Linked DNA regions of Daphnia pulex. The protein of the gene in region 3 purifies or fractionates together with the protein of the main gene of each other region. This does not show direct contact. Links are inferred from orthologs where the notes say so. Each region holds a gene or a part of one and is shown on either strand. Other genes may lie near its edges.

The links.
Region 1: the proteins of OTU domain-containing protein 5-B-like (region 3) and FACT complex subunit spt16-like purify together in Homo sapiens (affinity purification with mass spectrometry; 3 studies listed by BioGRID, with this or other methods). This does not show direct contact. The link is inferred for Daphnia pulex from reciprocal best matches to the Homo sapiens genes OTUD5 and SUPT16H.
Region 2: the proteins of OTU domain-containing protein 5-B-like (region 3) and ruvB-like 2 purify together in Homo sapiens (affinity purification with mass spectrometry, with the first as the bait; 3 studies listed by BioGRID). This does not show direct contact. The link is inferred for Daphnia pulex from reciprocal best matches to the Homo sapiens genes OTUD5 and RUVBL2.

What each region holds. Positions count from the first base shown.
Region 1 is NC_060017.1:5,830,583-5,834,335, reverse strand, and holds the start of FACT complex subunit spt16-like, read right to left. Parts: upstream 2,473-3,753; 5' UTR 2,215-2,472; coding exon 2,146-2,214; intron 2,080-2,145; coding exon 1,819-2,079; intron 1,748-1,818; coding exon 1,599-1,747; intron 1,534-1,598; coding exon 1,380-1,533; intron 1,322-1,379; coding exon 1,173-1,321; intron 1,113-1,172; coding exon 998-1,112; intron 941-997; coding exon 641-940; intron 564-640; coding exon 528-563; intron 466-527; coding exon 289-465; intron 225-288; coding exon 132-224; intron 68-131; coding exon 1-67. Other genes in the region: adenosine 5'-monophosphoramidase HINT3-like, read left to right, coding at 3,007-3,087, 3,297-3,414, 3,467-3,533, 3,595-3,721. UniProt on the Homo sapiens protein: Component of the FACT complex, a general chromatin factor that acts to reorganize nucleosomes. The FACT complex is involved in multiple processes that require DNA as a template such as mRNA elongation, DNA replication and DNA repair.
Region 2 is NC_060021.1:8,103,688-8,107,440, forward strand, and holds ruvB-like 2, read right to left. Parts: upstream 2,802-3,753; 5' UTR 2,706-2,801; coding exon 2,700-2,705; intron 2,593-2,699; coding exon 2,479-2,592; exon of another isoform or gene 2,419-2,478; coding exon 2,298-2,418; exon of another isoform or gene 2,279-2,297; intron 2,227-2,278; coding exon 2,076-2,226; exon of another isoform or gene 2,037-2,075; intron 2,007-2,036; coding exon 1,844-2,006; intron 1,784-1,843; coding exon 1,654-1,783; intron 1,558-1,653; coding exon 1,459-1,557; intron 1,384-1,458; coding exon 1,271-1,383; intron 1,200-1,270; coding exon 979-1,199; intron 914-978; coding exon 775-913; intron 708-774; coding exon 593-707; intron 525-592; coding exon 496-524; 3' UTR 290-495; downstream 1-289. Other genes in the region: uncharacterized protein LOC124194162, read right to left, coding at 3,470-3,622, 3,711-3,753. UniProt on the Homo sapiens protein: Possesses single-stranded DNA-stimulated ATPase and ATP-dependent DNA helicase (5' to 3') activity; hexamerization is thought to be critical for ATP hydrolysis and adjacent subunits in the ring-like structure contribute to the ATPase activity.
Region 3 is NC_060018.1:2,564,292-2,568,044, forward strand, and holds the start of OTU domain-containing protein 5-B-like, read right to left. Parts: upstream 2,740-3,753; 5' UTR 2,589-2,739; coding exon 2,457-2,588; intron 2,157-2,456; coding exon 1,996-2,156; intron 1,931-1,995; coding exon 1,687-1,930; intron 1,625-1,686; coding exon 1,469-1,624; intron 1,399-1,468; coding exon 1,242-1,398; intron 1,176-1,241; coding exon 495-1,175; intron 432-494; coding exon 196-431; 3' UTR 1-195. Other genes in the region: zinc transporter ZIP1-like, read left to right, coding at 3,428-3,753. UniProt on the Homo sapiens protein: Deubiquitinating enzyme that functions as a negative regulator of the innate immune system. Has peptidase activity towards 'Lys-48'- and 'Lys-63'-linked polyubiquitin chains. Can also cleave 'Lys-11'-linked ubiquitin chains (in vitro).

The DNA.
Region 1 (3,753 bases), on a different chromosome or scaffold from region 3:
TTGGCAAATCTTTCCCGGATTTGTATGACACGGTAGATTTCCGGATCTTATCGCCTTCCAAGCGTCCCTAAAACCAAATCAGATTTTAATGTTATTCTTTTGCACATTTATTTTCTTTTTGTCTTCTTTACCTTCTGCTGAGCAAGCCGAAGTTTGGCTTCTTCATTTAGATGAGAAGCCAATTCTTTTTGATGTTGCTTACGTTTTTCTTCGGTAGATGTTTCCTGAAAGAAACACAAATTATAAATTATAACAATGGAAAATGATAAGAAGAAAAGTACTATGTACCCGAAGTTTAGAATCAAGAATAGCGGTCCGCTTGCCTCGACCTAAATTCTGGGGCTGTCGTGATGGCTTTTCTTCGTCCTCTTCCTCCTCCTCTTCTTCCTCTCCAGATTCATCTTTAAGGAATATACCGATATTCTTAATCCTTTTTTTCGAAGCAGTAAGTATAGTAGCTGGACCCTAAAAATAATGTTACTCGTCAAAAAAACAAGTAGAAGAAAAAGTTCAAAATTATAACTTACATCGGATACAATAACAGTGTCGCTCAAAAACAAAGCCTAATATTTTAAAAATAAAATAATATATATTTAAATAAACAAATAAATAAATAAATATTATTAATTTATATAAATACATATTTCTTATAGCGATCATCGGTGCCATCAGAATTTTCCAAGTCAGCAAATCCAAGATTGACATTGAAGACCATTCCTTTTTTGACAACTGCGTTATTCTTCGGGCCGATCACCAAAGAGCTTTCTCGAAATTCAATTCCGGTAACAAAGCCAAGGGTTTTTGTCATCTTGTCAAGAAGGGCTGGTTTTTCTTTCTTTACGTATGCCTCAGCAGCATTATAAACATCGCTAAACTTTGCTCCTTCGACGAGAGATTTCAAAATTTCGTCTTCAACCGATAACAAGAAGTTGTATGTCTCCTACAAGTTCATAAGAATGTAATCTAGACTCATTTATGGAAATATCTTTTTCTTTACCTGCATCTTTTCAGTGGGGTTGACAAGAAGGGTTCGACCAATATTGGAGCAGTAAGATTTGTAACGTGCTCCTAAAAGACAAACAATTGCTCCAAAATGAAGGGGTTTATCATCACTGTGAAATAAAAAGAAGCATTAATGTATTCACATAAAGTTTGCTAATTGATAGATGTACCTCACTGCACTAAATTTCAGGCTGTAATTCCCTCCACTTTGAATTATGGCTGGATAACACATATCAACTTGACCCGTATCGACACCAGAAACATATTTCTTGTCAGTGGCTGCGTTCTCCACTCCTTCGGCTAATTTTGAATGTTTGACCTTGACAAATAAATTCAAATTAAGTCCCATTGAAAAAAAAATAATAAATTTTTCAAACCTTTTTATCTGCATCTACAATTTCCATAACCTGTTCTTTTAAATATTTGTTGAATAAATCAACAGATACTTGACATGCTTTCTTGATCACATTCAGTTCAGATTCTTCTTTAGGAGCCATCATATAAGCTGCCCCAGAACTAACATCAACTGTCCTGAAAATATGATTTCACACATTGTTATCTATATATTTCTAATAACACTTTCTAATGTTTCTTACTCAAATTTTTCTTTCTTGATGGCATTGTTCCATGCATCCATGAACTCTCCATGAAAACTGTCTTTTGAGAACACTCCAAGCTTTTTTCCTTTTTTAGATTTTTTCAATGCTTCAATAAGTTTCACAAAATTGGCTTTATCTTTGTCGCTCTAAAAAAATAGAAAAATTTCTTTGTTGAAGTTCCATGTTTCTAACATGGAAAATATGTATCATGATTTACTTTGTCACGAATCAACAGCTTAACAGCGGGCAAGCCTTTCTCTTCTTTAATTGCCTCCAGCGGGCGTAAGAAATCTATCTTCTTCTTACTTGCAAGGAAATAGATGGAATCTTCACACAGAGCCATAACTGTATCAGTCAATTCATATCCAAGAAGCCATGATTGTAAAGCAGATGTTTTGCTGTACACAACTTCCTCATCCGCCCCCAAAGCTGTGACCAATGCATCCATATCAGCAAACCCAAGTTCAGAGTCTTCATTCTATAAGATATTATATCATTGCATGAAATGAAATCCAACTGTCATGGTTGTTTGACGCCAACTTACCTTCCAAGACGAATAGAATCGCTTTATCCTTCGAAAGAACACCTCTCTATCTGCAGCGAGACTTCCCATTTTCAGTAACAAATGGGATCATCCAAGTCGAATGGGAAACTGCAATATTTCAACTTGAAACTACGAATCTGGAATGGCGAAATTGTACTGAGGTTCGTTACAAAAAACTGCCAGACCGTTTACCCAACGCAACCCATGCTTTTCCCTCTAAAAAGCAGAATGAAGTTCATAAAGACCTGGGCGTTGCCAACTATGATTTTAATAATAATATTATCCATTGATTTTTCAGAAATATCAGAGCAATAGATACCTGGTCGGTTCTCGGCCGTGTTGGCTTCCCCATCTCGATTTTAGGGTAAACGTGGTCCGATTTTCAGGGGGTTTTAGGGCGGGGCCTGTCATTGGAAACTAGAAACAGAGCCATCTAGGCTCTCAAAAGTAGCTGAGCGTAGTAGCTGACACACTCACTAGAGCGCTCATTCCAGTTTCCAAATCGGACCACGTTTACCCTGAAACCGGGATAGGGAAGCCAACACAGCCGAGAACCGACCAGGGATTCTATAGCTCTGGAAATATGCATATTTTTTTATTTTTTTTAAGATTTTTATGCTACAGGATATTTATGTCCTACTGCATGAATCTAAGTGAATACTTCGAATTCGAAATCATGACAAACAACTTGTTGCTTTTCGGAATTTGGCATCCTTACAGAATTGCAGACTACGCGAAAAGTCCATTCCCTCAGTCAGTGTCAATATTTTTACGTATGACTGAACTAAACAGTACAATCGGCCAGTGCACCTATCTTCAAAAAAAAACAAACAAACAAACAAACAGTACAATTCCCTAAAAATGGTTTCAGTACAAAAGTCCATCAAATGCATTTTTTGCCAGATTTGTGAAGGTCTGGCGCCAGCAACTATCGTTCATCAGGTTAAGGCTCTTCCTCTCTCATTTTTGACCAATTAAATTATGCGTTTTGTAGCAAATAGGTTTATTTTCTTCCAGGGAATCAATTAATCTAATGTAGACTAGCTATTACCTGAAAATCACAGTAAGAAATGGCTTAGATATATTAAAATAAGGTACTTAATAAGATAAAGATATACATTTCCTAATGCTGTATTTCCTTTCATAAATAGGATGTAAAATATTTGGCTTTTAATGACATCAAACCATCTGCTAAAAACCACCTTCTAGTCATTCCTAGAGATCACATCAATGATATTAAAAGTCTTACCATAGAAACAGTCAGCATGGGTAAATTGCCTGATTATCAATTCAAATAAACTTATCAATATTTTTTTATTAGTTGAAGAAATGGTAGCTGTAGGACAGCAACTTGTGAAGAATCATGGAGGAGACTTGAGTGATTGCAGGTATCATATGGATTCTTACCCTCATAAAAAATTGGTAGTAATGATTTCAACTAAATTGTAGAATGGGATTTCATTGGCCTCCTTTTAATTCTATTAAACATCTGCACCTACACGTGATATTTCCTGAGAGTGCTATGAGTTTTATAGGACGTCAAGTATTTCGGCCCGGAACATTTTATTTCGCAACGGTACTACTTACGAATTTAAAACCTTTGAATGT
Region 2 (3,753 bases), on a different chromosome or scaffold from region 3:
TTTCGCTGGCTTGACTTGCGACGGATTTGACACGAAATTATTGCGGGTGCACTCACGGACGACTGAGGGTTCGGGAGCGACGCCTTTACCTCACCAGGTGATGCGTCTCTGATTGGTGCACCTCTCGAGGGCTCGGGTGTTGGCGGGTTATACATGGTGGTAACTTCTTTTTCTACCCTCCCCTTCTTTTTCGTGGTAAAAATTACTTACACAAAAGTCGTAACAAACGGACGCAAATAAGCGACGAGTTTAGGACATTCAGAGCCACCTATCAACCGAAACTAGCAGCTTGACCGAAAGTGTTTTTGTATTTTTTGTCTTCTTTTCGGGTGTACACAATTATTACGAGGCGGGAAGAAAAACAGTTTAAACAGTACGTGTGAGTGTAGTTGTTTGTTTTTTTGGCGTCTTTTTTATTTTGACGGGATTATTTGATAGACGATACAAATGTGGAAAAAAAAAGCTTTTTCATTCAAAATGGAATTTTGAGTTAAGTTATGATGTCTCCATGGCGACGTCAGATTCTGTAAAAATGTTATTTTTCAATGAATACACAAAAGAAAATCTCAGACGTAATGATTCAGGTACTTACTTGGTTCGTCCTCTTCGTTAAACATGAATTCATCTTGAATGTCCTTCAGATACTGGGTGGAACGGGTTTCATCCAGGAATAGCGTGTACGCCTTTTTAATATCTTCTACGGCAATCTATTTAGATAAGAGCATAAAGCAAATGATTAATAACGTGCTGTCTGAATACAGTCTGAATACCAACCTCCATGGCCTTTCGTTTGCGAGCTATGAGATTAGCAACCGTGATGAGCTGAATGGCATAGCGTAAGCTAGTTTCCAAGGAAAGCCTCGTCAAAACGAGTAGAGCATCTTCCGTCATCTCGGCGTCTTCCTCTTCGCACCTGTGCAAAGAAAATATCAATTAAGGCAAAGCCAACGCATCAAATAATTGAAATGATAATTTTACCGGATTTTCAGAATTTGCTTCATTTCCTTTTCCACGTACGGCTGCGTGGCAATGATCACCATCCGATCAAGCAAATCAATTGGGATGCCGTGGGGACTCCGATATTTGGTTCCGCGAATTTTAGTAATTCCACGATTAGTGGCCATAATCAACACTGGCGCCATATCATCTTCCAGAGCACGATTCAAAAATGAAAAACATTCCATGTCTAGCATGTGCACCTACGTCGAGACATGACGGTACGAATAAATATATGCAGGAAGGAGAATGGTATGAAGATTTAATCACAAACTTCATCAATAAATAAAACTCCCGGGACGATTTCCGCTTTGCCCTCTTCGCGCCATTCGGCGACTTTGCTATTGATCTGGTCCCGGACTTCGGATTTGATTTCACCAGTATCCCCTATTGAATGCAAAACAAGAGATTTAATTTTGTAAACTTTCAAGGTCGGGAAATTAAAAATGTATGTGAGCTCACCAGAGAAGAGGGCGAGAAAACCCTGAGTTCTGCTATTGATTACGTCAATCTCGTGCAAGGTGACTGTGTGAGTCACTTCTTTCCGCTTTTGTAATTCGCCTACGTAAATAGAATAGGAGTGGTGTAAGAATATCGTACGATGTCGTCGTCGTCGTCGTAAACCACTTGACCAAAACTGGAATTTAAATAATATACCTTCGGGACACTGAACAAATCTGGTTTGCGGTCCAGTTGCGTCGTAATCCCTAGCCCTAGTGAACGATCGTCCGAGTTTCGAGATCTTGCCAGTGGCTTTGTCGATGGTAATGACGTCTCCAGCTTGGGCCTGAACCACACAAAGATATGTATACAAAATTGAAACACTTTTGTCAAACAAATTACACACCTTTTCCTTGATGAGGGATTCAATCATTTTGTTGCCCAAATCGTACACAGTTTCCATGTCTGTTGTCTTTAATGTCAGCTTTCCAACTTTAGCACCAGTTCCGGTAGCAGGTCTATCAATTTGAACTTCAACAACCTCACCCTCAATGATCTCAGTTTCTTCTCTGTTGAAAACAAATGAAAAATAAGGTTACAAGATTTCTAGGTTGAACAAATTTTGAGTTCACATCTACTTGATTCGAACTCCAATAGATTTTCGAAATGCTTGAGTTAGAGCTTCAGTTTTGCTCATTTCAAGGCTGTAGATTTCCGATCCGGCCATGGATGTGAAAGGTGTGTTGTCCCCGAGAGCCTGTGCCATACCCATGGCAATTGCAGTTTTGCCTAAAAAGTAAACCAAAGTGTTATAAACCAAATAATGGGATGTTTATTGCAGATTCAAAGACAATGTTAACCTGTTCCTGGCTGTCCAGCAATCAATACTGCTCTCCCCGCAATTTTTCCTTCTCTAATCATTTCCAGTACCACACCAGCAGCTCGTCGTGCTGTCAACTGGCCAACCATGCCTTGGGACACCTAACAATCATTTTGATATGTAACTTGTACGATTCTTTTATTCAAATTATTCAAAAGTACTTCTCTTGGTTCCAAAGCATCATCAAGTCCAAGACCTCGAATGTGAGAGTGAGTACCGATTCGTTCAATTCGAGAGAATTCTCGCACTTCTGCTACTTTAACTGATGGGATCGCCTAAAAAATGAAACGATATGGTCCAGAAATAAAAAAAGCACACAAGGGAAACGGAAAAATTAGCCATTTTATCCAAAATAAAGAATTATAACACGTGTATATATTACCGCCATGATTTGCTTTTTACAGTGCGTTGAGTTTCCTATCCTTCCCGTTCAACGCCGGTGGTATCCATGGAAACGGTTTTGAATTGATTGTTCGCTTTACATTCTTTTTTAAAGCATTTGTAATATTATACATCAACATTAAATTTTATTAAATTAAATTATATGAAATTTTAAAACACTTATCGACTTATTTACTACTTTCCTCGAATCTTAAAAAAATTATCAAACATGGCAATGCTGATTTTAGCTCCAACTTTCAAAGGCATAAAAAGGAGCAATGATTTCTTGACAAAAGCTCATTAGCTAGCCTAGTGGCTGTCTGAAACACATCTTTGGTGTCGATTACTACTTCAACGCAAACGTAATCAAATTTTTTTTTAGATTTTTTATGCATATATTCGATTATGATTGTTTTACACAAACCATTTAGCATCTACTGACTTTTTCCAAATGAAAATTTTAGAAAATGTGGAATTCAGAATGTTATAAAGTAAAATTTGTTGGATCAGAGACACGTGCATTTTCAGGACAAACGTTAAGTGAATTCAGTGTACATTGAGTGAGACATAGACTTAGAGAGATTTTCATTTTTGTAACGGGATTCCCAAACGGGAGAGAAAGAGACTTGTGTTACTTTTCACATGGAAAAAATATACCTCGATTTTTGTAAATTTTCATTCTTTTGTAGATGAACAGTTTCATGGTTGACATAGTATTTTAGCAGGGTTGTTACTTTAAATGTAAATAACAAAACAATTATACATTTTTGATTAACCGTGTTTCGCTGTCACCGTCTTCCGTAGTGTAGGTGTTATTCCGCCAGTAAAGTAATCTAAATAGCTCAACAAAACCAACTGAACACTGTTCTTTACCAATTTGCCAGCTAATTTGGTTGTTTTTCTAGGCAAGTCTTTGTCTGAAAGCTAAAAATGGGAAGTAATCGTTCAAAGCATTAGAAAGAGACGACAAAAAATGTGTGCAAATCAATTTGCCATTATATTTATTACGTACTATGTTGTTGATATATATAATCCTTCGGTGAAAATTGCCGCGA
Region 3 (3,753 bases):
AGTTCAATCCAATTGTGTCAGTCAGACGTCATTGCGAGTCTAAATTTAGACCGAGAATCAAAGATTAACAATTTTGCATGGAAAGGACTTTCTTCTGACTCCTCCCCTGATACACGCCTCTTGAGCTCCCTGCCACTGACGGGGGGAAAAAAAAAGGAAAGCTAACACGTAGACAAAACAACTGAGGAGTCTGGGTTAACTATTGTTAGTCCCGTTCGCACTGGTCAGGTCGTTGGTTGGATCTGTCGTCATACTGTCGCGACTGCTCTGTTCAACCGGCTGCTCCTCTTGCTGCTGTTTGGTGTTATCCATCGTCTCGTCGTCGTGAGGGTCGATGGCTTCCCTGCTCTTTTTCAACTTGTCCAGATACTCTTGTTGCGATGCAGCCAGCACTTGAGCCAAAAGTCCAGCATCCTCCCAGTCTGCTAAACCTTTAGCCAATTTTAAAGCATAAAATTAAACTGAAAATATCTGTTGATATAAACGTCAGTTACCAAACATGTCAGGAGGCAACTGTCCCAGGAATGAAGCCGTTTCAGCCAATTCAAAGCCTGGCCCCAATCCCCAATCGGGTTTACTGGTGTTCACTGGGTTTGAACTTGAAGTACCAGCGGCCGGTGACGCGATAGGGCTAGTTGATGCACCTTCACGACTACTAGAGGTTGTGGCGCTGCGTGAAGTGGACGCTCTCGGTGAAGCATTTGGAGACTTCCGCTGGTGTTCAACAAAAGATGGTTTGGGCGAATTACGAGCTGAAGAGGACGTCGTTGCTGTTGTTCTTGGGGAACGGAGCTCGCAGGCATTCGAGGAAGTGGTTGCCGAATGACCGGACCGTTGCTGCTGTCGACTGCGTCGCTCGTTTTCTCTAAGCCAGTCGAGGTAACTTTCACGGGCAACTTGCTCTTCAATAGCTTCATTTGTTGCCTCCCAATCTGTGGCTTTAACTTTATCTTCTAACATGGCTTTTTCAATTAAGGTCTCTTCACTTTGTCGCATGGCATCACCCATTAATTTCTTGTCTGCTTGACCAGGGACAAATCCTGGCAATCCCAGTCCTACTCCCACAGTGGCTTTGTACGGATCAACCAAACTGTTGTAGTGCACTCCACGATGATAAGACAATCGAATAGGTTCGTCATCAGTCTGATGTTTACCATGGAAAATATTGATCGGCTCTGTAATGGGTTAAATTTAAGTAAGCCTTCTATTTAGCGAATTTTATCGAAATGATAAGGGCTTACCGACGCTGTAGCAAAATACTTCAATATGTCTGTTGTACATTTCGCTCATAGCCTGCATCTCAATGTGATTGCCATGTACATTTTCCAATCTTTTTCTACTCACATAGGCGGCAAAGTCTTCAGTCATATACTGTGAAAAGTAGTCTCCGTTTGCGTCCTTTTATGACAAATATAAATATAGACGTAATGTTTCAAATTCATAAAAATACAACAGGACAATTACTTACAATATAGTCCATACAATGTTTGCGAACCATTGAGTGCATTTCTTGATCACCGTAGATTTGATCAGAAACGGCACGAAACAAGCAGGCTCCGTCTTCACCCATCCGCTTAATAATAAAACCTCGTTTCCGCATCTTTTTCTCAAACCATCTTTCCTTCTAATAATCATATTGGCATTGATGGAGTTCTATGAATAACACTTCTGTCTTAGGAAACATACCTGTTCCCATTCTTCTTCAGAAATGGGGACATTAGAAGATGAAGATCTTGCAGGTCCATATTCATCTCCACTGTTATATCCACTTCCTGATTCATCTTCATGGGAAGAAGGATCTGGTACTGTATGGCTTGGTGTGGGAGAACTTCCTGAGCTGGATGAAGAGGCAACACTGTGCATGGCTGAACTAGTACTAGGTATGGCAGAGGTTGATGAATTCCTATCTCTGTGCTTGGGGCGGACAGCTCTAAATAAAAAAAAAATATGCCTGTCAAATTTCAATGCAACAAAATAATAACTGAGATTAAATACCTATGGGGACTGACTCTCATTCTTCTTTTTGTTTGACTAGGACCACTCTCCAGGTCATAATCTTCATAGCGAGATGATGACTGGCTGCTGTGTCCGTGGCTGTGGGGATGGCTTGATGATGTTCTTCCAGACAGCCTAGACACACTGCAAGTTTCTGCTACCTGTAAAATTTATGTAAAATACATTTTAATAAGAATCAACAATGCTGACTTTTTGTCATCTTTGTCAATAATAGTTATCAATACTATTTGCTTTTATTCATTGAGCACTGCCTAAATGGCAAGGGTGTAATGAACAAAGCACCATTTGCTTCTTGTACATAAGTACTGGTTGTAGCTGGACCGGCCATTTTGTGTGGTTGTTTCAGATGTCAATTAGAAGATGCACTGAAACTTCCAGCCATAATTTCTTCCAAAGGCTGTTTAAATACTGGGGTATATTTATAAAAATAATTTTTTTACCTGTGGTACTGGTCCAATGTGTGAAAGGTGATTATTGCTCCCAACTGAGAGGTGTTGTAGGGGAGATCCATCAGTATTACTTTCGGATTCCGACCGTGATTGAGATGACTTCTTTTTCGGCAGAATTGTCATGATGCTTGTGCAAAGATCACTCTCTTTACCGAAACGCCCTTGAAATGTACTCTTCGACGATTTCTTTTATCTATTCAACGAAAAAGACAAATTTTCCACTGAAAGATGGCCGTGTCTATTTTTCTGTCTAAATTATTTAGAGGTTGCCATGTCGATGAATAAGCGAAAACATAGAGTTTCAAAATGTTTCAAATTTTCAATGGAATGAATTTTCGGAGTGATGCTATGAATAAAAAACATAATTTTTCATGTTTGCAAAATTGTGTTGAAAAATATTTTTTAGCTAGCTTCTAGCTAATATGTATTTTTCAATTTCCGAATTTTTGCTCGAAGAAGGCAACCAAGGATGTTAATTGTATACGAACATTCTGTCTGCTCTGCCAGTATTGTGACATTGACTTCGTTTTGATCGTGTGTCTGGAATTTTACTTTTTAAGTGAAACATTGCATAACTTCTGCCAGGAAGGAATAAAATCACCCTGCATATACCTTTCAGGTAGGTGAATTAATTATTGTAGCATTATTGTAGAACCTGTCGTAGGTTCCTTCTAGCATGAAGTAAGAAAACGAGCAGAAGATGTAAAGCACAAAAAAAATAAAAATAAATACAAATCGACCGACAGAGGGTGTTGACCGAGCTCGAGTTAATATTTCGCTCAAGGCGCAGTAAGTGCCCTTGTCTCAAGTAGTTTTGAGTTTTATAATAACGCGAAGGGACAGTGAGTAGAGTCAGTGGCATCTGGCCTGTGCGAACGCTGAAAATTACTAAACGAAAAATTCTAAAAGAGTAAACAGTTGCATCAGTCCATCAGACACATCCAAGCATAGTGGCAGTCAACATGGATAGCCAAGTACTGCTGGTTGTCACTGCTTTGATTGTGTACATTGTTATGGCAATTTGTGCTTTGATTCCAGTCTGCATTGTAGCCAAGAAATCTACCAAGGACTGCAACTTTAGTCGTGGTACAGAAAGAATAATTTCATTCTGTAATTCCATGGCTGGTGGAGTCTTCATCGCAATGTGCTTTCTAGGACTACTTCCTTATGCGCAAGACAAGACGAGGAAAGTGCTTGCAGACCTTAATATAACAACTGATTTTCCTGTTGCTGAATTCACATGCATTTTAGGATTTTTCCTTATCATGTCAGTCGAACAGCTCATTCT